Mus musculus: one gene and its partners. The protein of the gene in region 6 purifies or fractionates together with the protein of the main gene of each other region. This does not show direct contact. Links are inferred from orthologs where the notes say so. Each region holds a gene or a part of one and is shown on either strand. Other genes may lie near its edges. The genes, in order: Cep170, Dnajb1, Dnajc7, Sgta, Irf2bp2, Bag2 and Tuba1a.

Evidence for each region.
Region 1: the proteins of Bag2 (region 6) and Cep170 purify together in Homo sapiens (affinity purification with mass spectrometry; 3 studies listed by BioGRID and IntAct, with this or other methods). This does not show direct contact. The link is inferred for Mus musculus from reciprocal best matches to the Homo sapiens genes BAG2 and CEP170.
Region 2: the proteins of Bag2 (region 6) and Dnajb1 purify together in Homo sapiens (affinity purification with mass spectrometry; 4 studies listed by BioGRID and IntAct, with this or other methods). This does not show direct contact. The link is inferred for Mus musculus from reciprocal best matches to the Homo sapiens genes BAG2 and DNAJB1.
Region 3: the proteins of Bag2 (region 6) and Dnajc7 purify together in Homo sapiens (affinity purification with mass spectrometry; 7 studies listed by BioGRID and IntAct, with this or other methods). This does not show direct contact. The link is inferred for Mus musculus from reciprocal best matches to the Homo sapiens genes BAG2 and DNAJC7.
Region 4: the proteins of Bag2 (region 6) and Sgta purify together in Homo sapiens (affinity purification with mass spectrometry; 3 studies listed by BioGRID and IntAct, with this or other methods). This does not show direct contact. The link is inferred for Mus musculus from reciprocal best matches to the Homo sapiens genes BAG2 and SGTA.
Region 5: the proteins of Bag2 (region 6) and Irf2bp2 purify together in Homo sapiens (affinity purification with mass spectrometry; 3 studies listed by BioGRID and IntAct, with this or other methods). This does not show direct contact. The link is inferred for Mus musculus from reciprocal best matches to the Homo sapiens genes BAG2 and IRF2BP2.
Region 7: the proteins of Bag2 (region 6) and Tuba1a purify together in Homo sapiens (affinity purification with mass spectrometry; 4 studies listed by BioGRID and IntAct, with this or other methods). This does not show direct contact. The link is inferred for Mus musculus from reciprocal best matches to the Homo sapiens genes BAG2 and TUBA1A.

Annotation. Positions count from the first base shown.
Region 1 is NC_000067.6:176,804,325-176,808,433, reverse strand, and holds the start of Cep170 (centrosomal protein of 170 kDa), read left to right. Parts: upstream 1-1,309; 5' UTR 1,310-1,435; intron 1,436-4,109.
Region 2 is NC_000074.6:83,607,005-83,610,974, forward strand, and holds the start of Dnajb1 (dnaJ homolog subfamily B member 1), read left to right. Parts: upstream 1-1,170; 5' UTR 1,171-1,327; coding exon 1,328-1,538; intron 1,539-1,543; exon of another isoform or gene 1,544-1,756; intron 1,757-2,809; coding exon 2,810-3,390; intron 3,391-3,584; coding exon 3,585-3,815; 3' UTR 3,816-3,970. UniProt on the Homo sapiens protein: Interacts with HSP70 and can stimulate its ATPase activity. Stimulates the association between HSC70 and HIP. Negatively regulates heat shock-induced HSF1 transcriptional activity during the attenuation and recovery phase period of the heat shock response.
Region 3 is NC_000077.6:100,616,805-100,620,966, reverse strand, and holds the start of Dnajc7 (dnaJ homolog subfamily C member 7), read left to right. Parts: upstream 1-1,362; coding exon 1,363-1,439; exon of another isoform or gene 1,440-1,786; intron 1,787-4,162. UniProt on the Homo sapiens protein: Acts as a co-chaperone regulating the molecular chaperones HSP70 and HSP90 in folding of steroid receptors, such as the glucocorticoid receptor and the progesterone receptor.
Region 4 is NC_000076.6:81,050,272-81,053,771, reverse strand, and holds part of Sgta (small glutamine-rich tetratricopeptide repeat-containing protein alpha), read left to right. Parts: intron 1-1,520; 5' UTR 1,521-1,556; coding exon 1,557-1,656; intron 1,657-2,442; coding exon 2,443-2,549; intron 2,550-2,685; coding exon of another isoform or gene 2,686-2,688; coding exon 2,689-2,773; intron 2,774-3,421; exon of another isoform or gene 3,422-3,500. UniProt on the Homo sapiens protein: Co-chaperone that binds misfolded and hydrophobic patches-containing client proteins in the cytosol. Mediates their targeting to the endoplasmic reticulum but also regulates their sorting to the proteasome when targeting fails.
Region 5 is NC_000074.6:126,591,187-126,595,309, forward strand, and holds the start of Irf2bp2 (interferon regulatory factor 2-binding protein 2), read right to left. Parts: upstream 2,801-4,123; 5' UTR 2,251-2,800; coding exon 1,254-2,250; intron 643-1,253; coding exon 1-642. UniProt on the Homo sapiens protein: Acts as a transcriptional corepressor in a IRF2-dependent manner; this repression is not mediated by histone deacetylase activities. Represses the NFAT1-dependent transactivation of NFAT-responsive promoters.
Region 6 is NC_000067.6:33,747,751-33,751,250, forward strand, and holds part of Bag2 (BAG family molecular chaperone regulator 2), read right to left. Parts: intron 577-3,500; coding exon 467-576; intron 1-466. UniProt on the Homo sapiens protein: Co-chaperone for HSP70 and HSC70 chaperone proteins. Acts as a nucleotide-exchange factor (NEF) promoting the release of ADP from the HSP70 and HSC70 proteins thereby triggering client/substrate protein release.
Region 7 is NC_000081.6:98,950,702-98,954,858, reverse strand, and holds the start of Tuba1a (tubulin alpha-1A chain), read left to right. Parts: upstream 1-1,357; 5' UTR 1,358-1,405; coding exon 1,406-1,408; intron 1,409-3,167; coding exon 3,168-3,390; intron 3,391-3,522; coding exon 3,523-3,671; intron 3,672-3,844; coding exon 3,845-4,157. UniProt on the Homo sapiens protein: Tubulin is the major constituent of microtubules, a cylinder consisting of laterally associated linear protofilaments composed of alpha- and beta-tubulin heterodimers.

The DNA of each region.
Region 1 (4,109 bases), about 140 Mb from region 6:
GTTATAGTCTGGCTGTATACCTATTGCTTATTTAAAGCCCTGTCCTTTTTTGTTTGTTTGCAGTCTGACGTTGTGTCATGTCCTTAGCAACAGTAATGTTTTTCTGTTCTGAGACATCCAGGGGAGGGGAATCATGGTTCTTGAAAGTTACATTCTTGTAATAGAGGGTGAAATTCTGTACTGCTTTCCTAATATTAAAGTACTCTTTCTTATGAACTGATATTCTTAATAAGTCATAAGTTTTCTTTGATACTAGTTGTAGTTTTTATTGTTTTTAACCATTAGAAACAGCACCCTTATATTGGTTCTCATTTTGTTTTCTGAAATTTTTTGTCTGAAAATTACTGATGCAGTCTATATAAATATCCTTATGTATATTTACTAGTCTCATACTTCATTTATAACATGGGTGATATTTCTGAAGCAATGATTTACCCTTACTGTCTACTCAGTTTTATCTGTTTTAATGTGACTATAGTACAAATTCATTGACGTTTTCTTGAATGATGATTCTATCTTCTCATGTAAGGGATTAGCTTCCCTTCCTGGCTTTTGAACATTTATAAATTCAATAAACATCTCTAATGTCTTCATCCTGTCTGAGTAATTGTCATAGCCAAGGATAAAACCATCCAGATTTATAAATAGAATCAGTGCCACATAAAATGTGCTGGGGGTGGAGAAGTGATACAAAGGTAATGAAAATTATTTGTAGTTTGGTTACTTTTCTCTTTTCCTTGATTAACAAAGGAATTGAATGAGACTAGGAGTTTTGAAGATATGAGTGATATCACTATATGATAATAAAGTTGAGTAAGGAAAAGTGCTATGAAGCAGAATTTATCAGCACCAAGAAAGGCATTGCTGTTAAGTTTGTGACAACTGTAGACTCCAAACACTACAGCATGGGCTTAAATGAGGACAGTGGTTTCACTACAACTGTGTTTAGACCATAGCTGCAGAATTAATCATGAAAAGTTGGCAGAATTTTTACAAATAGCATTGATAAATCCTAAGCCGGTTGACAGAAGAGAAGGCAAAAGAAAGTGAATAAAATTAATCAAATTAGAGAGTGAGGGATGGTAGACTTTCCTTTTTGATTTTCAATCTGTAAGTACATACAAATGGTTCAAGTGGTTCAATGTTTTTAAATGGTGTGTAAATTCCTTCCTACCACTGTTTTGTAAATACTGAATTACCAGTTTTGCTAATGCAGTGAAGCACCTTTATTATATATTATGTATCTCAATTCAAACAGTTACAAATAATAATCTTAACCCTCCTTCCATCTTTGGCAGGAAAGAGAGGCTCACTGCACACTCACTGTATCTTGAATGCTGTTACTTCTGAGTGTTTGAGAAATGAGTCTTCAGAAACAGTGCTCACCACCCCACCCCGATATTTAACATTCCAGTAGAAGTGGGGGAAGACACACGTAGGTATCTGGGTAGAGAATATTCTCATATGCAGTGTGGTTCTGCAAGGAATGGGATAAGTGAATTTGAGAACAATGAGGCCACTGTGACTGGAGATGAGTGAGAGAAGGGAAGAGGAGGAGGAATTAAAATGGGATGGAGCTTTTATTGGTTGATGTTATTTAAGTACCGTGGGAATTTATTGAGGACTTTGAAAGGATTGTTTTATATGTAGCAGTGACAGGGGTGCAAGTATGGAAATAAAATGAGCTAAGAATTAATTGGAGTGATATAAGCAACTGTACTTGAAGTACTGTGATGGTGATGGTGAAAGTTGTCCATGTCTGGCTTTACAGAATCAAGAGTTTCTGTAAAAGCTAGGAATCTCCTTTTGAACATCTAAGTAAACATATCAAGTGGGTAATGGGATGCATGACACAAATTCTGAGGAGGAGATTTATGGATTCTTAAAATTAAAACACTACCAGTAAACTGGAAGGGATCAAATTGTGTGGTACCCCAGAAACCAAGGGAAGAAAGGAATTTTGGAGGTAAGAGTGTCCAGTCACTGTATCAAATTTAATTACTTGAGAAATATATATATGTGCATATTTATTTATTTATTTATTTCAGCACCAAGAAAGGCATTGATGTTGTTAAGTTTGTGATAACTGTAGACTCCAAACACTACAGCATTAAATGTTTATTATATGTTATATGTTATATGGAATAACACATCACACATTCAAGCCTCAGAGCTTAAATAGGAAGGAATCTTGCATTCCAGGCAAACATCTAGAAATCTGATTTGAGCCAATCATAGGAAAGAGGCATAAAGTATAAAATAATTTGGTGGAAAACACATTGGAAACAGACTTCCTGTGGAACTGTAATTTAAAAATATAAGAGCTGAGGGTATAGCTCAGTGCGAGACTCTGTGCTTAGCATATGAGAAGCCCCATCTTTTGTCCACAGAATAGCAGAGCACACACAAGGCAGTTATCCCTTGGTATCTAAGTAGAATAAAATCTTCCAGTGCTTGAGACCTTTAAATAAAATTGGAATAGTATTTGTATATAACCTATTGACATCTTCTTAAATACTTAGAAAAAAGCTACAATTATTTGTGTACATGATATGCTACACAAGAGGAGGCCAAAGGATATCTCGGAGGAGTCAGTTCATTCCTTCCACTGTGTGAGTTCCAGGGACTAGCTCAGGCCATCAGGCTGGGCAGCTAGTGCCTTTCCCCACTGAGCCATCTCTGATTGATCCTCCTATGTACATTATCTAAATTATCTTTGTGTTACTTACAGTGCCTAATACAATGCAGTATTCCACAAATGCTTAATGTTCTCTATCACTTGAGGAATGATGGCAAGTGAAAATATCTGTGTATGTTTAAAACAGGCATAATTATTCTCTCCTTCCAGTATTTTTCATCTGAGTTTCTTGGATCCATGAGTTTGGAACCCTTGGGAATATGTGTTTGTATATGTCCATATATATATATATATATGTATATGTATATATATATTGAGGACTTTAGTGTTATTTGCTGTGGTTGCTCAAGAGAAATCCTCCTAATTGTACAGCTAACACATTGCAAAGTGAAGGCTACTTATTTTTTTTACAGATTTAAATATAATTGTTACATATTTTAAAATTTCTAAAAGCTCTGAGTCAAAAAGCACACACTTTGATAATTCACCAGCTATTATTATCTCTGTCACATAGTCTTGCCTAGTCTTGTTTAATTTGGCACGATTCTATCTTAGACTTTGTCACTAATTTTTTTAAATATTTTTATCAAGTTAGAAAAATTATAAAATATTTGTATAAGCACGGGAGTGAGGAAAAAAATCTCATTTTGAAATTAGTGTGAGTTTTAGAATTCTGCATTTGTATTTGCATCAGATCTGATATATCTCTTTCAAACCAAGGGAAAACAGTGATTTCCACACAGATCTGTGAGAAATGTCCATTTTAATGTTTACAATTTTAAAACCAATTTAAATAAATTACAGGTTGGTAAAATAAACTTCTATGCCACTATATAAAATCTGAATTGAAACACTGGGAATGTAGTTCAGTATAGATACTGCCTAGCATGTGTGGGCAGTTAGGTTTGGCTTTGATCAGTAGCACCAGGGGATTGTGCAGGGGGATATTGAGAATTTTTTCTTAAAAATAAAGTGGAAGCCATAGGAAAATAACTACAAAAACTGTATATGCTTTTGTCAGTGCCTTAGTTAAGGTTTTTTACTATTATGACGAGACACCCTGACTAAAGCATGTGTGGTCCAGTCAGGAACCTGGAGGGAGGAGTGGATGCTTAGGCCACGAGGTAGTGGGGTGCAGCTTCCTGACTCGCTCAGCCTGCTTTCTTATGGAATCAGGACCACAGCCCAGGAATGGCACAAGCTACAATGAGTTGGACCCTTCCCCATCAATTAGTAATTAAGAAAAGGCTTGCCTACAGCCCTATGTCTTATAGTTGTGAAAACTCCAAGGGCTACTTTTAAAGTTTTAGCAAGTTAAATATCTGCTGAAGGTCTTTTCCTTAGAGATAGCATCAACTAAGTGTGCAATGGGATAGATGAGCAAGAAGCTCCTTCTTAGTTTCTGTGTCTTTTGTATGAGTACTGATTCTGCTCCCTCCCAAAGGCTGCATCTCATCATCATCATCATCAT
Region 2 (3,970 bases), on a different chromosome or scaffold from region 6:
CAAATCCATGGGGAGGCGGGGGGCAGGGCTCAACTGGTTCGGTTTTCATGGGGTCAGTACAGTTAGGAAAATCAAAACACATACACCACACACAGCTATACCATTAACGGAAGGCTAAAGTCATTTTTCTCAGGGGTGCCTAGGGCAAGGGTTATCTGACTCTCCTCCTACAGAGCTTCCAGAAAGGGAATGTCAACAGTTGTCCACTAAACAAGATGATTAATCATCTCTTTCAAGAACACCCTTTGTCCCTTGTCTTTAACAAATGCAGAATAATGTCAACTTCACCATATTCCACGACCATTCCCTTTGTACAGATGACCACACTGAGACCAGAAAAGCTACTCTACCAACCCAAGGTCACACAGCCAGAAAGTGCTAGGATGAGAGTCAGTCTTTCATGCACTTTCAGGCAGTCCCATTCCCTGCAAGAACCACCAATGACTATTCCAGCTTCTCTATGCCTTCCAATATCTGAAGCTCTCTCCTCTTCCTCACTCAGCTCCGTCCTTGACCGCCATCATCCCAGACTTACAAAACCAAAAGCAAAAAGCTATACTATATCAAAGTATTTGGAAATATTTACGAAGCACCCAGTGGATCTTTAAAAAAATCACGCAGCCCTGGTGGTAAACTCAGACGGCAAAGGAAGTGACAAGTATCAGAACGCCAAGAGGCGAGCTAAACCCAGTAGGAATTAGTAGGAAGTAAGATAAACCGGAGAGGCAGCCCGACTGCAGCAAGCCCAAGGCAGACCAGTCTCACCTCGCTTTACAGTAACGGCCTTACGGGAAAAACCAAGGGCTACGGGCAGAAGAGGGCGGGGTGCCTATTTTTATCCCTGGGTTAGAGCAGGAAAGCTTAGAGGTACTTGTCAGGTAGCTACCACAAGTCACGCAGCAGAACCTCCCAGCCGGCGATAACCTGGGGGAAAGGGTGCGGCCTTTCGGAGAGGCCCGTCTCTGTAGCCCCGCCCCTCTTCGCGCCTCCACCTGTCCGCAGAGAGAGAGAGGGTTGCGATTGGCTGGATCCGCTACGGAGGCGGAACCCCAGCAGCCGGCGCGCGCGCCCGAGGAAGGCGTTGACCAGAGTAGAGAGGGAAGGGGCGTGGCCCCGCGCGGAAAGCCGTTGGCAGCCGGGTCCCACCCCGGATGTGCTGCGTCACGGAGCGGGCCGCAGCGATTGGCCGGTGTCGTGCGGCGCATCGGGAGGGGCGGAAGGTTCTGGAGGGCTGGCGGGATCTGGAAGCTTCCGCCGGACGGGTATATAGAGTCCGGGACGGGGCAGCAGCGGAGCCGGAGGCGGCGACAGCTGGGCGGCGGTGGCCATGGGCAAGGACTACTATCAGACGCTGGGCCTGGCCCGCGGCGCGTCCGACGACGAGATCAAGCGAGCCTACCGCCGCCAGGCGCTGCGCTACCACCCGGACAAGAACAAGGAGCCCGGCGCTGAGGAGAAGTTCAAGGAGATCGCCGAGGCCTACGACGTGCTCAGCGACCCGCGCAAGCGCGAGATTTTCGACCGCTATGGAGAGGAAGGTACGTGTGCGCGCGGCCGGGGTGACCCGCCGTTTGACAGGCGGGGAAACCGAGGCACTCGGAGCCTCTCCAAGACCTCGGCCGGGGACAGGCATTCCGGGGATCTAGCGGCGGCGCCGCCTCCTTCACCCTCTGATCCGCGGCCTCAGACAGGAGGAGGAGCTCTGGGCGCGCCGCTGGCACAGAAGCTTCTAGCACGTCTGCCGCAGCCCCTCCCGGTCGGTCGCCTGCACAGCGCCGGAATGGTGCAGATGGAGGGCGGCGGTCGCGATGGGAATGAAAATTGCCCGAGTATTGATTCTCTTTCCTAGCCGCAAGCTCAGTGTTCGCTCACCCAGGGTTGAGCCTTTTTGGTAACAGTGCGTAGGAGCTTCTCTGTAAGATGGTAACAGCATAGCTGGGAGGATGGAGCAGTCACGTAAACCTGGTCGCACCGAGATCTAGAGGCCTTACTACCGAATATGTTGTCAGGAAGTAAAACGGAGTAGTGTGTTTCTTGCTCCTATTGCCATTGGGAGTTAAAAGACTTGAGATTCGTCCTTGACTAACAAGCTTTTTAATATATACATAAAATCCCTCCCGCTATAGTTCCTGTGGCCTTTTTACTAAGAGCAAAACTTGTTGAGCAGAGTGCGGGGGCTCACACCTCCACATGGGAAACCGAATTAGGAACGCTGTGAATTTGCTTCAAATCAGAGCTACAGGGTAATAAGCTCCTGTTTCCAAAGGAACCGGATGTTGTGACAATCCCCCCTCTGGGGTATTTGAGTCAGGAGGATTGCCTTGAGGCTACTCTGGACGAAAGTTTGTGTGTTACGTGGCATTGACAGTAATACATGCAAAAGGAACAAAATGTGACCATTTATTTGAGACAGGACCTCACTGTTGCTGGAACTTTGTTTTTCAATTTATTTGAGCGTGTGCCTCCGTGTATATGTGTATACCATTCACATGCTTCTAGAGAAGAGGGCATTAAAGGTCCCGGAACTAGAGTTAGACCATGGTCTGCTGCTATGTAGGTGTTGGAAATTGAACTTGGTTCTTCTGCCAGATGAGCCAGTGCTCTGAGCCATTTCTCCAGCACCTCATGGTGGAGCTCTGGCTTGTCTGGAACTTGCAGAGATCAGTCTGCACTTGTCTTGAGAGTGCTGGGGTTCTGAGCTCTTTGTTTCAGGGGTTTTATGTTTTATAAGTGTGTTGAAGTGTTGGGGGTGGAGGGAGGTGGGGCTGACTCTCCAGCAGTAACCCTGACTTGTGGTTTTGGTTTCCAGGCCTGAAGGGTGGTAGCCCCAGTGGAGGAAGCAGTGGTGGTGCTAATGGTACCTCTTTCAGCTACACATTCCACGGAGACCCCCATGCCATGTTTGCTGAGTTCTTCGGTGGCAGAAACCCCTTTGATACCTTTTTTGGGCAGCGCAACGGGGAAGAAGGCATGGACATTGATGACACATTCTCTAGCTTTCCAATGGGTATGGGTGGCTTCACCAACATGAACTTTGGACGTTCCCGCCCTTCTCAAGAGCCCACCCGGAAGAAGCAAGATCCTCCAGTCACCCATGACCTTCGGGTCTCCCTTGAAGAGATCTACAGCGGCTGTACCAAGAAGATGAAAATCTCCCACAAGCGGCTGAACCCTGATGGAAAGAGCATTCGAAATGAAGATAAGATCCTGACCATCGAAGTGAAGAGGGGCTGGAAAGAAGGGACCAAAATCACCTTTCCCAAGGAAGGGGACCAGACCTCGAACAACATTCCAGCAGACATCGTCTTTGTTTTAAAGGACAAGCCACACAATATCTTCAAGAGAGATGGTTCTGATGTCATCTATCCAGCCAGGATTAGCCTTCGGGAGGTAAGGTGCTAGGTGGGTGGAGGAGTCATAAAAAGAGATGGCTGCTGTGAGAATAATGGGTTGTGGGGTTGGGGGGGCTTTGGAGTGGGGTGTCAGCGGGCCTGGTCTGGTAGACCTGACCCTTCTCCGGACGGTCTGGAGGAGTGAAGCTCCTAAGCCAGCCACTGCCTGACACTGTCCTTTTGCTTCCCTAGGCTCTCTGTGGTTGCACTGTGAATGTCCCTACTCTGGACGGCAGGACCATCCCTGTTGTATTCAAAGATGTCATCAGGCCTGGTATGCGGCGGAAAGTCCCTGGAGAAGGCCTCCCTCTCCCCAAAACACCTGAGAAACGTGGAGACCTTGTTATCGAGTTTGAAGTGATCTTCCCGGAAAGGATTCCCGTCTCATCCAGAACCATCCTGGAGCAGGTTCTTCCCATATAGCCACCTGCACTCCTCAAGGACTGAGCCAGGGGCTTTCAGAGCTGCAGATCTCCAGACCGTTCCACTGGTTGCATACTGCGGGAGGGCCCAGGGAGGGCTTTTGCTCTGCCGAATGTTTTCCACAGAATATATTACAATCTTTCAAAGTCGCGCAC
Region 3 (4,162 bases), on a different chromosome or scaffold from region 6:
AAATTCAGGAAGGAAGAAAAAAATTGTTTCCCCCCCCCCCGTTGTTGAAAAATGGGTGAAAAATTAAATTCGTTAATTAAGGCAGTGGTTCTCAACCTGTGTGGGTCATGACTTTTTTTGGCAAACCTCTATCTCCAAAAATATTTACATTACAATTCATAAGAGTAGAAAATTTATAGCTACAAAGTAGCAACAAAAAATAATTTTACGGCTGGGGATCACCATGACAGGAGGAACCATATTAAAGGGTCACAGCATTTCAATTCACTGAGGTCCAGCTATCATTCTCTATCCAGTGGCCCAGGTAGTTTCCACTCCGTCAGTAATGATAAGGACCTACAAATAAGGTTAGGGACTTTGACACACACTTTCCTTAAGGGAAATTTAAATTCCATTGTCTTATTTTCGTTCCTTTTGGCTTTAAATTACAATTTCAAGGTCGTCTCCTCCCCACATTTAACCTCAGAGGGCCTCAATTTAATCCAACACTGTTGTGTGTGGTAGTGGTACTACAAAGATAATTATGCTGTCTTCCCAATCCAGACAACATCTGGCCAGACAAGCGTGCTGGGTAGAGTTTATGAGAAGTAGGAGTACAGGGGACACTGAGGAAAAGGGACCTCACCCCATGAGCTGCCTTATAAACTCCGGGGCAGGGGCTGGCGCGCCATGTCATCCTTTCTAGGCTTAACGCTGAGATGGCACTCCCAAGCGGCTGACATGAAAGCAGCCTCATAAAAGGGTCCGCGTCATTGGGGTGATGAACCAGTTGGTGCTTAGAGATCCGTGGAGGATGAAAGGAGCAGGGTGAAGACGCCCTGCGTTCCCCTCGCTTGGTTGGGCAGGGCTTCCAGGAACTGATGAAGCTGGGGATTGGGCTCAAAGTAGCTCTTCATGCCTTTCCAGGGAGGAAGCTGTGGACACACTGCAAAGTCAGGAAGGTAGTCTTGGGGGGGGCTTTTCTTCCTCAAGTGTCTTGGGGACCCCGTCTCCACCCACCAGGGACTCCCAAGCGTTACCGGAGGCTCTCTAGGATTGCTAGTTGTTATGGCAACCGGGCTGTAGGGATACTGAGGCAAGCTTAGGCCCAGAGAGGCAACCTCCTTCTGTACCCTCCTCCTATTCACGGGTAAAGTGGCGCCCCCTACGCACAGGAACCGTCCCTGGGCCCCCGCCCCAGCGCGGAGACCACCGTGGACCTCCAGGGATGGAAGGCCGCTCTGGCCCCAAGCGGAGCCTCTCGTTGGTAGACGGGCTCGAGGGAGTCCCTCTGGGCGCGGCGCCGCCGAGCGGCTCGATGCTCCGACCGGAAGTGCTCTACACCGTCTGCCTCCCACCCGGCTCTCTGGTCCCGGCGGTAAGATGGCGGCTACCGCGGAGTGCGATGTGGTAATGGCGGCGACCGAGCCTGAACTGCTGGAGGACGAAGACGCCAAGAGGTAACCAACCGGGTGGTAGAGTCATGGAGGAGACGAGCTTGCAGCTCGTGGCTTGGGGCAGGTGGACCCGCCAGCGAGGCAGCCCCCAGATGCAGAGACGATGGCTCTCCTGCAGACACCCCCCGCCCCCATCTGAGCTGGAGTCGACCGAGATCCCTCTGAAGGGGTACACTTAGGGGGTCTGCTGTCCCCTTCTGCTTCCGCCTAGCAGGGAGCTTGAGGCATGGTCTTGTTCTGCCGCGGGGAGGAAGGTGGACTTCATCGTGGAGGCCGGGTTCCCGGGCGGGGGCGGGGGGAAGGGTAGGAACCCCAGAGGTCGGCTGCAGAGTGGGGGAGGCGTCGCGGCGACAATGACGACTTCCTTAACAGAGCCCCGACCTCCGCCCGCTCTGGTTAACTTGTGTGCATTGTTGCCCGTCCTGACTGGTCGTCTCCGAAGCCCGCATTCTCCTCCTCACTTCCCTTTCCTCACTAATGACCCTTAGTGGTCTCTAGTGTGAGGCTGAGAGAATTGGATGCTCACTGTATGGACCTGGTCGCCCCCCACTCCCCGATAGCCGTAGAAGTTAAGAATGGATAGACAGAAGGGCGAATGAGGAGCTTGTCTCTTGCAGTACGGGGGCAGACGCTTCTTCGCCATTCCTCCCAAGAGCATTCTTAAGCTCAAGGAGAACAGCTGTTTAAATGCAGTTGGCACTGCTGGGCAGCTGCAGTGGCTCGGGATTGCTAGTCTGGCCTAGCCTAGGGAGGTGCTGAGTGAGTGGTTTTTCTCGAACACTTGGTGAATTCCGACACCAGCTTAAGAACGGGTTTTCAAAGCGGGGTGGGGTGGGGTGGGGTGGGGGGGTTAGAGTACGCTTGGGAGCGGGCGGGACTTGTTCTGATACCAAAGGTGAACTGATTCTTTTATCAGTAGCATGATTAATTTGATCCTTTTCTTAGGATGGACTACAGTCCCCTTACTCTCCTTCCCTTGTGGTTCATGTTCATACCAAGCCTGTAGGGAATGTCTTCAGGCTGAATAATTTGAACAGAGTCAGTTCAGGAGGTCTAGAAATCAGGATTCTGAGGGGTTTACTGTCCAAGTTAGACTTATAAGCGGTACTCGGAGAGATACGGGGAATATTGTAGTCATCAGGTGTATGGTAGTACCTGACTTGAAAGCTGAGATGCTAGACAAAGTGTAGTTGATCAAGAGCTATCAAGTTTAGCCTTGCCTCCTCCTCCTCCTGTTTGAGTTTCCATGTCATTACAGTGTCTGGAGTTAAGCATCATCCGCTCCTATATAACTTAAGGTATTGCCAAATGAGAACGGAAGCCCCTCGCTAACACAAACAGAGCTTACATTTTATTTTACTTATATTTGGAAAGAATTTAGTGCTTCTTACTGCTATAAATAGGGACTTTGGCTATATGTCATTTGAGGAATCTATCCTACTCAAGTGTAAATCTCCTGTAGAGAGTGTCACTGATTCGGACTTGAAACAGGTCTCTATGTAGACCAGCCAGTCTTGAACTCATAGAGAACCGTTCATCTGCCTCTGCCTCCCAAGTGCTGGACTAAAGGTGTGCACCGGTTACACTAGGCTAACTTCTGTGTCCCCTCTCTAAAGCAACTCCTCCTTAAAAGACCAGATTAGCTTTAGAGGGTATTTTGTCATAAATGGTCATAAATGTTTATGGACAGATATATTAAACAAAGGCTGAGTATGGTAGCACACATCTGTAATCCTTGCACTTGGGAGTCAAAGGCAGAAAGAGCTGGAATTCATCAGTCTGGGTTTTATAAAAAGAAGCTAGACGTGGTGCTCACCATAATCCAGCACTTGGAGGCAGCGGCAATCGGACAAGGTCAAGGGCAGCCAGATATCCACAGTTTTAGGCTAGGCAGGGGTGTGTGTGTATGTGTGTGTGTGTGTGTGTGTGTGTGTGTGTGTGTGTGTGTGAGAGAGAGAGCGAGAACATAAAACAGGAAAACAAATAGTGTTACAATGCAGCCACATCATGTAAAGCATGGTATTTGGTTAACTGATTTTTTTTTTTTTTTGTGGAATTTAATGTTATTGATTATAAAATAGTTATTGGGACTGGAGAGGTGGCTCAGTGGTTAAGAGCATTGACAACTTTTCCAGAGGACCTGGGTTCAATTTCCAGCACCCACATGGCAGCTCACAACTGTTTGTAACTCTAGTTCCAGAGGGTCTGGCTCTCATAGACATACATGCAAGCAAAACATCAAGGCACAAACAAACAAACAAACAAACAAGCAGTTATCTACTACCAAGTCAGTATAACTGTAAATAAAAGTGAAAATTGCATTCTTTTTTTTTGGGGGGGGGGGGTTCGAGACAGGGTTTCTCTGTGTAGCCCTGGCTGTCCTGGCACTCACTTTGTAGACCAGGCTGGCCTTGAATTTAGAAATCTGCCTGCCTCTGCCTCCGCTACCACGCCCGGCTGAAAAATGCATTCTTGCTGGGCGGTGGTGGCACACGCCTTTAATCCCATTTAGCACTTAGGAGGCAGAGGTCAGCAGATTTCTGAGTTCAAGGCCAGCCTGGTCTACAAAGTGAGTGCCAGGACAGCCAGGGCTACACAGAGAAATCCTGTCTCGGGACAAAAAAAAAAAAGAAAGAAAGAAAGAAAGAAAGAAAGAAAGAAAGAAAGAAAGAAAGAAAGAAAGAAAGAAAGAAAGAAAGAAAGAAAAATGCATTCTTAACAGACGT
Region 4 (3,500 bases), on a different chromosome or scaffold from region 6:
AGACCCATCTGGTCACCTCTGTGAAGACTCTGTCTCCAAAGGTCTCTGGGGTTCGGGGTCTCTGTTAAGAAGCTTAGGGGACACTGTGTGGCAGGTGATATGGTCTGCTTGTGGGATCCACGGCCGTGGGTACCAGCCTGGGAGCAGCCCTCCATAATGCTTTCTTAATGTGTGTTAGCTTGAGATCGGATTCTGCTGCTCTCAGGTATTGGTCCAAGGCTGCTTTCTAGAATGTTCTTAGGTGCTAGGTGAGGGGCTGAAAGCATGGCAAAGTGGTAGTAACTGGTGCAGTTGGCATGCATGTCCTCAAGCCAGGGTGCCTGGGTCACACAAGCATGTCTATTGGTGATTGGCCAACACCCCACCACAACTCCTCCATTCCAGGGTGCTCAGGACAAAGGGAATGGCGGAGGTGGCCTGCCGTGCATGGGGGAGGGACAGGCACAGGGAGCATGGGACACGGAAGGATGTGCCTCACATCACCACCTCCATTCCAGAATCTTACCCAGCACCTGTGAATACTGCTGGCTTCACGTCTGCCTCCAGGGGAACTCAGGATGGGGTGCTGAGCTGGGCTGTCCCCTTGGGTGGCTGTGAAGTTCTTCAACTCTACTTAACAGGCACCACAACTGGGCTCTGGCGTGGAGCAGAGGTCCACAGCCTCTCACTATTGTCTTTGAGAGTCCCATGCATGCTGGCCTCTCCATTACATGCAGGGCTATGGTGGCTGTCATGTGATCGCATGCTAGGTGCCAAAACTTTAGGCCAATTTCTTCTGTCTAGACTAGAGAGGCCACAAATCTGAACTGGCATGGTTCGAGCTTCCAGGTGTCTTTCTTTCTGCCTTCTCTCAACTCTGTCCTGTGGTGTCTGCTGTTGTACAGGGGTCTAAACACTCTCTGAGAGTGTCTGTCAGTGCCAGTCCACCCCTCATGGCTCCCTCTGAGGCTCAGGGATGCGGCCTTGACACTGTGCCCACTCTGACTCACCTGCTGCCTCTGAAAGTTCCCTGGGCTGAAGTCACTCTGACGTGGTCAGGAGAGCCACCGTCAACTGTCCCTCTAGAGTCCAGAACTGTCCTTGTGTCACCACATAGTGCACCTTGCAGACCAGGGCTGTGAGCTGCAGCACCTCCAAGCTTTGGGTATAGGGTGGATCGAGGAGCTGGTGTCCTCAAAACCTTGGGATCCCAGAATATAGCCCTGCTCATCGTGCACTGTGGCACTGACTGGCTGGTATGCTGCAAAAGGGTAAATTGAGGAAAAGAGTGCCCTGAGGCAACACTGTCAGCTCAAGGCATGCCCTTCTCCCTAGCACTGTGGCAGACAGGTCTGTGGTTCCATGCCCAGGCTATCCCCACCTGTCATGGGGGAGGAAGAAAGGCTCTGCACGGTGGCCCTAACACTGGAACAGACCAGTTCTCCTGGACTCTGGTAGTGGTCGGGTCTGGGACCCATGAGTCAAGGACAGATCTCCTCCATCTCTGGCTCCTCACCTAGTACTTTGTGCTGTTCCCACAGATCCTGAGCAAGCAGTGTCACCTCACTAGTCTCGAGATGGACAACAGGAAGCGCCTGGCCTATGCCATCATCCAGTTCCTCCATGGCCAGTTGCGGCACGGTGGGCTCTCGTGTGACGCCCAGGAGAGCCTAGAGGGTGAGTGTGGGCTGCTGCCCTGCCAGCCTCTGCTAGGGCTCAGGATGCCACAGATGCAGGAGGCAGGCGGCTTCTGAAGCTGAGAGCCGTCCTTCCTGCTTATGTGTGTGAGGGGCCTGTTACATCTGGTCTGTTTAAGAGGCTTCTGGAAGCTTGAGTTATTTGCTTGCTGTCGTAGCCAGCTTTCCTGCAGCCTGGCAGTTTGTCTCCAGGAATTGCAGATCCACAGTGTGGATACCAGTTTGCAGAAAGGAGGCTGCCCCAGGCCACAGGGACACTAACCTCTCCACAGTGGCTTGTGCTGATAGTCCAGGTCAGAGCCAACCCCTGCATTGTAACCCCAAAGGACACACCACCTCAGGCCCCATGTGTCTGCCCTCTTACTGTCAGCATAGCAGGGGCAGACCAGTGAGCATGTGTGTCTGAGAGGCTGACTGCAGGGGACTGAGAAGGACTGAGGTACAGGGCCAGGTGTTAAGGCGTTTGGAGACTCACTAGGGCTGTGCTGGGGCCTGCTGGGAAGAGCACTTGCCCAGCTCGTGTGAAGTCCCGGCTCAAACCAGGTATGGTCGTGCTCACCTTTTATCCCTGCACCCAGGAAGTGGGTGCAGGTGGATCAGGGTTTCTTGGACATGCTTGCCTATGTAGAGAGTTCAAGGGTACCCTGGGCTTACATGAGAGTCTATCGCAAGAAAAATGGAAGATGTCAGAGCTTCCTGTGGGCTCCAGTGAGGTGGGGCCTCCCATGAGCTCCAGTGAGACTGGCTTATCTCATATCCTGCACAGTTGCCATCCAGTGTCTGGAGACAGCCTTCGGGGTGACGCTGGAGGACAGTGACCTTGCTCTCCCCCAGACCCTGCCAGAGATATTTGAAGCAGCCACTTCCAGCAAGGTGAGCCTGGGCTTCCCTTGACTGTGCCCACGATGGCAGTGTGCCGTTCTGTGCTGAGGCTTGACAGCGCTCTGAGCTGTGTGGCATCCTGCAAGGGCAGGTGTGGCAGGGTACAGTGAGATTGTTTCACCCCCAGCAGGAGATGCCACAGGACCCGCGGGCCCCTGACAGGACACCACCCTCTGAAGAGGACTCAGCTGAGGCAGAGCGCCTCAAAACGGAAGGTGAGGGAGACAGATGTCCCCATGGGGTCTGTGCAAAGTGCTGTAGGGATGCAGCCCAGATCAGCCAGGTCCCATTGGCGGGGGCGGGGCTGGGGAGCTGAAGAGATGGTGTGGCAGTTAGAGGCTTCCTGCACTCTCAGGCAGCTAGCTCAGGGCTGGTTCTAAGCCCAGGTTTGGGGCATCTAGTGCCCTCTTTTGGTGTCTGTGGGCACTGCACCTACACACATACACACACATATCCCCCACTCAGAATAATATATATTTATGCTTTAAAGTGGCAGACTTAGGCAAATCTCTGTGAGTTCAAGACAAGCCCAGTCCACATGGTACATTTAGGCCACCCAGAACTACATCATAAAACTTTGTCCCCAAAACAAAACAAAAAATATTTTTAAAAATTAAAAGATCCTGGTTTGGTGGCTCAAACCTTTAATCCCAGCACTTGGGAGGCATAGGCAGATGGGTCTTTGTGAGATTGAGGCCAGCCTAGTCTGCAGAGCAAGTTCCAGGACAGGAAAGACTACATAGTGAGACCCTGTCTCAAAACACCGAAGCCGAGGAAAATAAAGCTTCATGGCCTGTGTGGATGACGCAGCTCAGGAAACACCCAACCCACGCGCTCAGGCAGACTCCTGGTCTTGATTGCAGGCCACGTGTGGCTCCCAGAAGGCAGGTGGTCTTGGCATTTAACCCAGGCTGACCCTCCCTGTCCATGGCTCTGCATGGG
Region 5 (4,123 bases), on a different chromosome or scaffold from region 6:
AGGGGACATTGGAGCCCACCAGAGGACACTTCTCTCCACTTGGGCAATAGACCTCTCCGCTAGCGCCCTGCTGTTTAATGCTTTGTCTGGAGCAAGGGAAACAGAACTTGTGCGAAGGGACAGACGGGCACTGCACAAAGTGAGTATCCTCCAGCCGCTCGTGGCAGAGGGTGCAGCACAGGGGGGCGCTGGCTGCCAGAGAGGAGTCTGGGAGGCTGGCAGGGTGCACCGGCTCCAGTCCTCCGGTGCTGCCGGTGGCCTGGCCCCCCACCTCTCTGGGGCCAAGCCTTCTTTGGTTCATAGAGGAGGGAGAGGGCGGGCTGCTGCTGTTCCTCCTGGTGGTGGAGTGAACCTGGGTGGCATCTTTTGAGGCGTGACTGCCCCCGGCATTGTCTGCTACTAAAATCAGGGCTGCCATTGGGGACTGGCCATTCTGGGCCGCTTCAGGCGGTGTGGTCCGGTTGGAATGAGGAGAGGCAGTAGGGGGTGGTGGAGACACAAAAGAGGATGTAGGGGTGATGGGGATCTTGAGCCCTTCTGTGGAAGTGGACAGCCAAGGCTGTGTCTCACCATTGATCTTAGGGGGCCCGACTTCCCCTTCCGGTTCTGGGGAAGGCTTCCTTTTCCTTGCTGTCCTTGCAACTGGAAAGAGACAGGTATGGAAGAAAAGGAAGATTAACTTTAACGTACCCCCAAAGAGACAGCTCTCATCTTCAAAAACACACATAGTTCTGCACGCAGCTTCAAACATTTCCCCTAATAAAGGGCTCTGAGCCTGCACACCACCTCCAAGGTAAGCCAAGTCATGGGATCCTGCCTGAAAGGCTCCAACCCCAGACCAGCTCATGTGACTGCATTTAGCAGACAGGTTAAAGGGTGACTGCTGCCCTCACGCTTCCATCCAAGAATGTGCTGGGAAAGGAAAACCCCGTGTCGCTGCCTATCAACCCGTTCTGACTCATCCCTGTTGTGCTGGTTCAGCAGAGGGACCACGTTGCCACTAAGCTCTGGTTCAGCCCCGGGCCGACCAGGAAGTTGGCTGTTTGTTGTTTCTGGATTAAGGCAAAACTGTGCATGGAAGAATGGATCCCTACCACCCACCCACCCACCCACCCACCCACGCGCACACACGCACGCGCGCGCGCGCACACACACACACACACACACACACACACGGGTGGGCGGGCGCTCAAACGCTGCCTCTAACCCCACGCCCTCCATCCCTTCTCCCCTCGCCCCGCAGTCGCCCCTACCTGCTTTAGACCCGTTGGCCCCGTTGGCCTCGAAACCCAACAACCTGCCTGCTGCAGTCAGAGCCGGCTCCTTCTTGAACTTGCTCTCGAAGGGCCCCGAGTGGCCGTGCTGGTGCAGCGCCAGGAGCGTGTCCCGCACCGTCTTAGGCCTGCTGGCCCAGTCCTGCTCCCCGGGCGCGCGGCCTTTGCCTGCACCCTCGGCGCTCAGCTCGCTGGCCCCGGCCGCGCTGGATAAGCTGTCGGCCGGACTCCGGTGCGCGGGCTGCGCCTTCTCCTTGCTCGGCTCGCGCGCCTCGTGCTCCGCCGCCGCGCTCGACACAGACGCCGGGCGTTTGTGGGTGCCCAACTCGGCGGGCTGAGCTCCCAGGCCCGGTGTTCCGCTCACCGCGGCCAGTGTGGCCGCAGCACGGCCGCTCAACCCCAGCGCGGCAGAACCGTTGACCAGAGGCACCAGAGTGGGCGGAACGGCGTGTGCACGCCGAGGGTTCGGGCTCTGGCGATTCAGCTCCGGCGGCTCCTCCAGTTTGGAGAACCCGTTGGGCACCAGGATGCCGTTCGCCGGCGCGGACTGCTGCGCGGCCGACTGTGGGAGGCCTGCACCCGCACGCGTGCTGAAGTCGGAGGCCAGGCGCGGGGCACGATCCGGCGCCAGCGGGTAGCGCTCCATAGCCTGAGCGCGCGCGGCCTCGGCGCCCGCGTGGCCCAGCTGCGGCGGCGGCTGCAGCAGTAGGTCCTTGGCCGACAGTGGCGGTGGCTTGGCGGCTGCGGGCTGTGCACCGGTCGGGGAGCGGCCCTCCGGGAAGCAGCCGTGAGCACGCTTCAGCTGGCGGGCCGTCTCGATGACGAACTCCACGCGGTCGGCTCCCTCGTAGTTGACGCAGCCGCGGCACACGGGCTCCGTGAAGTCCCAGATCATGGCCCAGGGCATGCGGGGCAGGTCACACAGATAGCACGACTGGCGCCGAGAGGCGGCCGCCACCGCCACCGCCGCGGCCATGTCCGCACAGCCCGCCGCGCCGCAGGAGGAGCCGGGTGAGGGGACGCCGCCGCCCCCCGTGGATCCCGCGCGCGCGCGCCGGCCGGCCCAAGCCCGCGTCTGCGCGACTAGCGGCGGCGGCGGCCGCAGGCGAGGAGGCGGCGGCGGCAGAGCCCGGGCCGGCGCGGCGCCCGCGCGGCGCCCCCGGGGCACGAGGGGCGGCGGGCGCGCGGCGGGGCGCGCCTGCAGGTCCCCACGGGCGGCGGGGCGGCGCGGCGCGCGCGGGGGCGGCGGCTCGGCCGGGGCCGCGGGCTGGGGCCTCCAGACCGGGGCAAAGACGGGCCGCGAGCGCAGCAGGTCGCGCTGGCGCCCGGGGCGCAGAGCCGCGCGAGGTACGGGGGACGCGGGGCAGCCGCCGGGGCAGCTCAGCCCGAGCGGCGGGGCATGCCGCGCGCGGCGGCGTGCAGCTCGGTCCCGGGCCCCGGCGCGGCCGCTGCACAGCACCCACTGCGCCTCAGCTCCTGCGCCGCCGCTGTTGCTGCTGCTACCGCCGCGGCCGCTCCACTTCTACAGACTTGATTCTTCGACAGCTCTGCACGGCGCCTGCGCGGCCCCCTCCCTCCCTGGCGCGCGCGGCCCCGTGCGCCCGCCCTCCTTCCCTCCCTCCCTCCCTCTGCGCTCTCTCGCGCGCCACCCTGGATTCTTCCGTTTCTCGATCGCGTGCGCGCCGGGACTGAGGCGCAGACCAGTTCACGCGGCCCTAGCGCCGCAGGTGTGCAGCTCGCGTCCCCAAGAGTCCCGTGTCACCCCGCCTACCCAGCCAGGATGCTCCAACCCATGGCCCTGTTCTTTCGATTAAATCGTGCAAACTGTTTTATTTTACATGCAATGCCACTTTATCACTTGGTTACTGGCAGCCTCCTGAGCATGGAATTTGGAGCATAGCGAGGCGCACTTTGGACTTTTCCTTGTTAGCGTCTCACTTGGCTTCAGCTGGGCGCGCGCACGCTATCAACACTCTGCCCTGTTTTGGTCGAGGAAGCAACTACACACTGCCGCTGCCCCTTTAAGTTTTACAAAAACTTAGTGCTCAGGCAGGCCCGGCCTCTTTTGCGCGTGCACTGAAAGGAGGACGCACAGGCCCGAGGCTCCTCAGGCGCCGCCGCCCAGCGTCTTATGTAGGTCTGTGCAGCGAGCGCGTGACGTGGGCAAGGGACGCTGCCACTGCGCAAACTCCACATAAGACGTGCCCAGCGCCGCGGGCCCTGGGGCCGCGCCGAGCTAGTGCACATTCCAGGGATCTGGGCTCTGCAGCGCACCGCGTCACGGCTCAGGACCCGCCCCCGGTCTCTGGCTAGTAGGCCCTGCCCCACCGCCTCCGCGGGGCCGAACTTCGAGTGGCCAACTCTGGGCGCGCGCTGTCCCCTTTGCGCCTAGGGCGTGCGCTGGCGGGTGGACTTGGCTGTCTGTTGTACCATCCGGCTTAGCCCAGTGGGCACAGACGCGCCTGGCAGCATCGCTTCGTTGTTCCCTTCCACGCTGGGCAGTGAGGGCTGCCCAGAGTGGACGGAACACCGAATTGTACACTTTGGTAGGGAGCAGGGACTGGTGTGTGCTGTCAGTGGTCGGTCAGTCAGGCTCTGATTTGAGACCTACTACTCTGAGTAAGAGCCGCTTTTGCTTTTGTGGTGAACAACGCAGGTCCACCTCTCTCCCCAAGATTGGAATGGGCTGGTTAAGTGTGGGAAGAGCAGGGTACTAAGTACATTAGCTTTCCTACAACTGGATTGGAAGGTGGAAAGGGAGGGGGGAAAAATCTGCTGACCTTTTTTTCTCCGGTGGCTGCTATTGAAAAATGCCAGGTTGCTTCAAAGAATAGCCACAAGAGGAAACA
Region 6 (3,500 bases):
CATTGTTGATGGAAAGCATTTTGGATCTGGGAGTTCAGCTGCTTATCTCCGCAGCTCTCTAGCCCACTGTCTCCGGGCTGTCATACTGCTCAGATGACCGCGACAATGCACTTGCCGGCTCTGCCTCAGATCATCTCTATTAGTCTCTACTTTTACCTAGGCCCTCTGCTTTTACTGTACCTGCAGTCAGGACCTTGTAAAAAAAAACTGTTTCTGAGGTGAGCTGCAGGGCTGTACTACCTGCCCACCCTGCTGGCGCTCACACGGCTTCTCCCACCATCCCTGCCAGTGTTAGGGGAGCACTGAAAGGAAGACCACCGACAGACAGCGGACCGACGGACAGCGGACCCACAGCTGCAGGTGCACCCCAGCTGCTGTTACTGCTGAACGGGGTCAGGCAAGCCCTGACTCACGCCAGCCCAGACTCCCTAGGCCTCCAAGGCGCCCCTCTGGAAACAGCTCTCACCATCGCTAATCTGCCTCATGTCCTGGCTGTTTTGGATACTGTGGATCATCTCCAGAAGGATTTCTTTCTCCTGCTCAACAGCAGTAGCTGCGTCTCTCAAAGCTTCCACCCTGTGTGAATTGGCAAAACAAAACAGTTGTTATAGGGACAGTGTCCTTCCTGGTAATTGTCCTCGGCTGCCATCTCAATCAGCTCAAGTTTAAAGGACAGCAAGGACACTTTTTAAAATGTATTTCTTAGTTGCCAAGGTGAGAGAACTCTCGTCTTTAATCCCAGGAAGGTAGACCTCCGAGTTTGGGGGCCACCCCAGTCTACGAAGAGAATTCTAGGGCAGCCAGGGCTACACAGAGAAACCTTGTCTCAGAAAGAAAACAAGTGAATGGCATTACTTTCAAACAGTTTCTTCCCTGGGTGTTACTGTTCTGTCAAAGGCAGGCCTAGAACTCGCAGCAATCCTCCTGCCTCGGTGCTTAGGCAGCAGGCAGCAGCCACTCTCTCTGGCCCCTGTGTGCTCGGCTGTTTCCTGCTCGGGGCAGCGTTAGACTCCATGCTCATTTACATGGATTTGTTCTTTAAAAACTCTCTATTAGTACACTTGGATTTTGAATTTGTAGCCCCCCCCCCCTCTGGGTCCCTCTCTCGATCTCTTCCCGGCTTACTCTTCAGAACCTCCCGGTTCCTGGGGCTCAGTGCTGCGCTGTCCTGTGTAGAACTTCTGCTTCTCTTCACTCTGACCCCTCAGAGACGGCCACTCACACTCACTTCAGTGACTTAGCTGGAGTCTGCGTGTTCAACACATTGACTCCTTACTGGTCAGACACGATAATCTGTAATCATCTGTCCTGTGAGCTTTGTTGAAGTTGGCCCTCACCGAAGAGATACCACCACCACCACCACCACCCCGCTCCCAGAACTCTATTACCCAGGGTGGCCCTGTGCTCTGTTTCAGCCGCAAGCCCCTGGGATAGCCCGCATGTGTTAGCCTATCCGGCTAAGGGAGCCTCGATTTACTTACAGGTTTGCTGTTATGTGCCTGAGTGCTTTGGCTGCATCTGAGTGCGTTGTGCACGTGCCCGCAGAGGGCAGAAGAGGGCGCTCACTCCCCTGGAACTGGGGTTACAGATGGTTGGGATAGATGCTGGGAACCAAACCAGACCCTCTACAGTGGCGGTCAGTGCTCTTCACCACTGAGCCACCTCTCAAACTCTGCTGCTGCTGCTGTTATTACTGCTATTATTTTGCAACAGGATTTCCCGGCATAATGCAGGCTGGCCTTCCTGCCTATGATTCCTGAACGATGTTTTCAGTCTGCCGTGGCTTTGTGTGTGGCTTATACTTTTGAAGTTTTAAGTTGCTTTTCTCATATTCTGGTCATAATATTTTCCCATGTCCTATTTATAGTTTTACCTTCCTGGTATTTATTTGTTAAGTCCACCGAAATAGACTCTGACATTACATCAGATCCTGTGCTACCTATACAAAGTGCACCTTTTAAATCTCTCCTGTGATTAAACTGGCTACCCTCACCCCACACCTGCCTTACAGCATCACAGGCTCTGTCCCATGTAATAATTGGCAGAATGGCCTCCCCCCCCCCCAATGGTTATTCTGTAAAGATAACATAGATATTTATCCCACCACATAAACTGTACAAGTTTGATTTCTTTAAAAAATGGGGGGGGGGGCGTGATTTGACATACTTTTTGACAATGTAATTTAATTTATATCTTGTTTTCTTCAGTTTTTTTTCTTGGTTTTTTTTTTTTTTTTTTTTTTTTTTTTTTTTTTTTTTTTTGGTTTTTCGAGACAGGGTTTCTCTTTATAGCCCTGGCTGTCCTGGAACTCATTCTGTAGACCAGGCTGGCCTCGAACTCAGAAATCCGCCTGCTTCTGCCTCCCGAGTGCTGGGATTAAAGGCGTGCGCCACCACGCCCGGCTCAGTTTTTTTTCTTAAGATTTACTTATTTAATGTACATAAGTACACTGTTGCTCTCTTCAGACACACCAGAAGAAGTCATCAGATCCCATTACAGATGGTTGTGAGCCACCATGTGGTTGCTGGGAATTGAACTCAGAACCTCTGGAAGAGCAGTCAGTGCTCCTAACCACTGAGCCCTCATTTTCTTCAGTTTTATAGATTCTTTATTAGCTTTTAAATATTCTTCACTGAAGCCTTATGGATTTCTGAGTGCTCTAGAGAACTTGTGGGTTTCGTTGCAGAAAATTGTAATTACATTTCGGTCAGTTATTACTGCTGGAGACATGCTGTTTCTGCTGGCTCAGCTTGCAGCTGGCCGTATCAATGGCATTAAAGTCTAACGGCTACCTGCCCCATCTATCATTTCTTCCTAGATGATCATACCATCTTTTAGAAACCTTTGTGTCTTTAATACAATTGTTGTCTCTTTACAGCATTGACTGCTGTCTTCTAGGTCTGTACTAGACAGTTGCAGGGATGGGGTTTTGCCTTTTCCCAAATTTAAAGGGAAAGCCTCTTAAAGATTTTGGTATAAAACCCTGATTGTCACATAGGACACTATCACACACACACACACACACACACAAAAGCATAATTACTATTACTGCACACTGAGAACAAACCTAGGGTGTTTGACTCATGAGAAGCAAAAGAAAGCCGGGCATGGTGGTGTACGCCTTTAATCCCAGCACTCGGGAGGCAGAGGCAGGTAGATTTCTGAGTTCGAGGCCAGCCTGGTCTACAGAGTGAGTTCCAGGACAGCCAGGGTTATACAGAGAAACCCTGTCTCAAAAAAACCTAAAGGAAAGGAAAGGGAAAGGAAAGGGAAAGGAAAGGGAAAGGAAAGGGAAAGGAAAGGAAAGGAAAAAGAAAAAAATCTCACCCATTTAAGAGATTTCTGTTTCCAGGTCACTTTTCTTACAGGTTACAGTGACCACATTCCCAGCTTTTGTAGAGAAACAGTGACAGATGACCCTAGAGGTGAGGCCATGGGCAGGCATTCAAACCAGACCACTAGCCAGGGAGAGAACTGGTTCACCAACCTCTTATTAGCTC
Region 7 (4,157 bases), on a different chromosome or scaffold from region 6:
AAGGACCACAGTCTCTGGCTGAGCAGCCTTGGGGAGAGCAGCTACAGTTCCCACAGTCAGAAGCCCAGCTGCGGAAGGGGCTATTTACAGAATTCAGGGAACTACATAAAACTGCAGCAGGGCTGGCACTGCACAGTTGTCTGGGGATGAAAACATCACAAAATGGTTTCCTTTTATATTATAAAACGCTCCTCTTTTTAATTTGGCATCTCAGTTATTTTTTACTTGATATCACCCCTCCCCCTCCAAAAAAAAAAAAAAGACTGGAGAAATACAAGCCCACACAAAGAGCTAGTTTTTAAACTCAATTCTTTCTCCTTACAGTTTCTGAATTCCATATTAGAAAGGATGGCTCATTTCTAGGGACAAAATAACACAGGCTCTGGGGTGAGGTAGGGTGGGGTAGGGGGGCGGGCACGGAGGGGTGATGGGAGAGAATTACAGCTAAAGAAAGAAAGCTCTCTAGTATTAAGTACTACTTTGTATATTATTTCTCTCTTCTCTTCTTTCTTTCTTTCTTTCTTTCTTTCTTTCTTTCTTTCTTTTTCTTTTGGTTTTTGAGACAGGATATCACACTATATATCCAGGGTGGGCACAAATTAGCTGCAATCCCCGGCTTCCCAGTGCTGGGATACACAGGAATAAACCACTAAGGCCAGTTAAGATGACCTTGAGCTGCAAGTCTTCCTGCCTCTGACTCCCAGGTGCTGTTGAGGTCACAGGCGTGGTCTACTCGTACTGACTTTTGCTCAAATAATAATAAAGAATAACAATAATACAATAACTATGAAACTAAACATTCAGCCACGCCTTTTTGACCACCCCCGTATCTTCTGCTACTTTTTAAAGCAAATAGAGATGTTGAATTCTGACAGAACGTAATTAAATTCAGTATATTAAAAATGAAAAGCTGGAATTTTCCAAAAAGATTCTAAACATAAATTCTGTGATTAAGTGTTGGGAAAAACCTTAGATGATTTTTAAATACAGTTTAAGGTTTAAACTACGTATAATCATCCAACCCCAGTTTTCTTTCTTCCCTTTCCACCCCTCCCCAACTCCACCCCATAATGGATGCTCGGCTAGCTGCCTTTGCACGGCCTTTGTCTGAAGGATGCAAAGTCTACGGATGCTAGGGGGAAGGGGTGGGGGAGAGATTACCTCATACCATGTCGCTTGCACCAATCACCACTCTCCTGTCGCGGCTTCTCTGGGCAGACAGAGGGGTCTGGACCAACAGGAAAAGGCCCTGGCCCATCCCCATGGTGACAGAGCTGTATATAAGGAGCCGCATCCGCCCAAGTGCCGCAGGTTCTCTTACATCGACCGCCTAAGAGTCGCGCTGTAAGAAGCAACACCTCCTCCTCGCCTCCGCCATCCACCCGGCAGCCGCGAAGCAGCAACCATGGTGAGCAAGCCTTCCCCGGCTCTCGGTAGATAGAGGGTGGGTGTCAGTCGCCCCAGATCTGCAAGGAAACGTCTAAGGCTTTGGTCACCTCTGCGGGGAAAGGGTGGTCTCCATGCTTTAAGTTTATCTTAGTCTTTGAGTCCCGCCGCCGCAGTGCGGGACACGGAAACGCCCAGACCGGGAAGAACAAAGGCAGCGCCGATGAGCTAGCGCTGGCAGAGCCAGGGACTGCAGGGGACCACGGGGACCGCCGGGGACGGGTGGGGGATCGAGGGTCCGCTGCTGTAGGAGGGCAGGGGCGGCGGCCGAGCCCGAACTCCAGAAACACCGCCCCACTTCGCTAGGAAAATGTTTAGTTTGCGTCGGATCCATGGCAGCCGCTGTCAGGGAGGCGCAGGGGCGGGGTTGTTTGTCTCTTGCTTCCGTGGCGTTTTGGGAGGGGTTGGTTCTCACTAAGCCTCTTCCGAGCGGTTTTTTTTTTTTTAATTATTTTTATTTTTACTTTAAAAAAAATCGTTGTGGAACTGTAGTCATGGGATGTTTCGTCTGCAGGGCTGTCAAAAATACGATTTGCTTAACGGGGACATCTCGCTGAGGGGGGAGGGGAGCTGGATGGTTGGGGAATGACAAAGCCCACTTTGTGAATCCTAGAGTACGCTGATGGTCAGAACCCAGGGAAACGCCCTTCCCCGCCCCCCACCCCCGCAGACAATGAAAGTAGTCCCTCCACAACAGACGTGTATCTCTATAGAATGAAATATTAGTGGTATGTAGAGATTCATAGGATAAAAATATTATTTTCTACTTTTAAATTTAGCTATCTTTTCACTTGTTTTTTTAAAAAATGTTGGCGCTCATTGTTTCTAACTTAGCCTGCTTTAAGAATATTTCCATTCCATACAGTGGAAAACCTTCAAAAAACAATGGATTTTCTGCAAAGAAAAAAATTATACTCTGCACCCAACCATCTTTTGTTCTAATAAATGTGCACTAATTCATTAATTCAGGCTAATGGCCCCAGCCAGGGTTAGGAGGGACCATGAAAGCAGCACAAAGAGATCGCATAGACAGCTGCTGGAAATAGAGCTTTCTCTGTTAAATAATGTAACAGCACAGGCTAGCACCAGGCACAGAGAACGTGGCAATGCAGAAATCAGACTTTGTCTAGCTTGTCGACTAGCCAAAGTACTGATGGGGTCTGTCTGCAGAAGGGTGTGGCTCCTGGCCTCAGCCGCACTGCAGATGTCAGTGTTGAAATAGAAGGTCCTATAGTGTGAGACTCTTTATTATGTAGCCTAGCCAGAGTACTGATGGGGTCCACAGAAGGGTGTGGCTGTTGGCCCCAGCCGCACTGCAGATGTCCATGATGAAATACCAGGTCCTATAGGATGAAAACTTCATCCTTACTTATCGGGTAAAGAAGCAATTAGTATTATTATGGATAATTATTTTGTTTTACAGAATCTATGCTTTAAATATTTTTCAAATATGAAAGCTGTTCTATTCAAGCAAGGCTTTGGAAACAATGGGTTTGCACCATGTCTTAAGCAGTATTAAGGTGACATCTAGGCCACACCCACTTTTGGTGTTTGTAGTGAGTACTCCTCATTGTTCCTGTTATTAGGGATGTGACTCCAAATAAATTTCAACAATATTTCTATTTTTAGAAACACTTTAGAAATCTATTAAGATCTAAAATAGAAATACAGCTTAATATTATAACAGCTTAATTTTATAATTTTTTTCCCTCTTTCCACAGCGTGAGTGCATCTCCATCCATGTTGGCCAGGCTGGTGTCCAGATCGGCAATGCCTGCTGGGAGCTCTACTGCCTGGAACATGGCATCCAGCCTGATGGCCAGATGCCAAGTGACAAGACCATTGGGGGAGGAGATGACTCCTTCAACACCTTCTTCAGTGAGACAGGAGCTGGCAAGCATGTGCCCCGGGCAGTGTTCGTAGACCTGGAACCCACGGTCATCGGTAAGCTGGCTGGGGGCTTCCCCAGGCATTCCTTCTTGGTCACATACTCAGAATCTCTCTCCAGACCCAGAAGGGTGAGTGAGCTTGTGTGTGTCCTCGGTGGCCGATGGCTGACGTCTTCTCCCTTTGCAGATGAAGTTCGCACCGGCACCTACCGCCAGCTCTTCCACCCTGAGCAGCTCATCACAGGCAAGGAGGATGCTGCCAATAACTATGCTCGTGGCCACTACACCATTGGCAAGGAGATCATTGACCTTGTCCTGGACAGGATTCGCAAGCTGGTAAATGCCATATATGGATGGGTTTAAAATGCAGTGGGAGGGTGTCTTGGTATCTGTCAGAATCTGTCAAGTCTTTTCTATCAAGCAAATATGGCTCCCAATCTAAAGGAATTGCAAATAGTGCTAAGAGTATGCCCTCCTAATAAAACATTACATTTCCTTTTCTCCCACAGGCTGACCAGTGCACAGGTCTCCAGGGCTTCTTGGTTTTCCACAGCTTTGGCGGGGGAACTGGCTCTGGCTTCACCTCCCTGCTGATGGAGCGGCTCTCTGTGGATTACGGAAAGAAGTCCAAGCTGGAGTTCTCCATTTACCCAGCCCCCCAGGTTTCCACTGCTGTGGTTGAGCCCTACAATTCCATCCTCACCACCCACACCACCCTGGAGCACTCTGATTGTGCCTTCATGGTAGACAATGAGGCCATCTATGATATCTGTCGTAGAAACCTCGACATTGAGCGCCCAACCTACACTAACCTAAACAGGT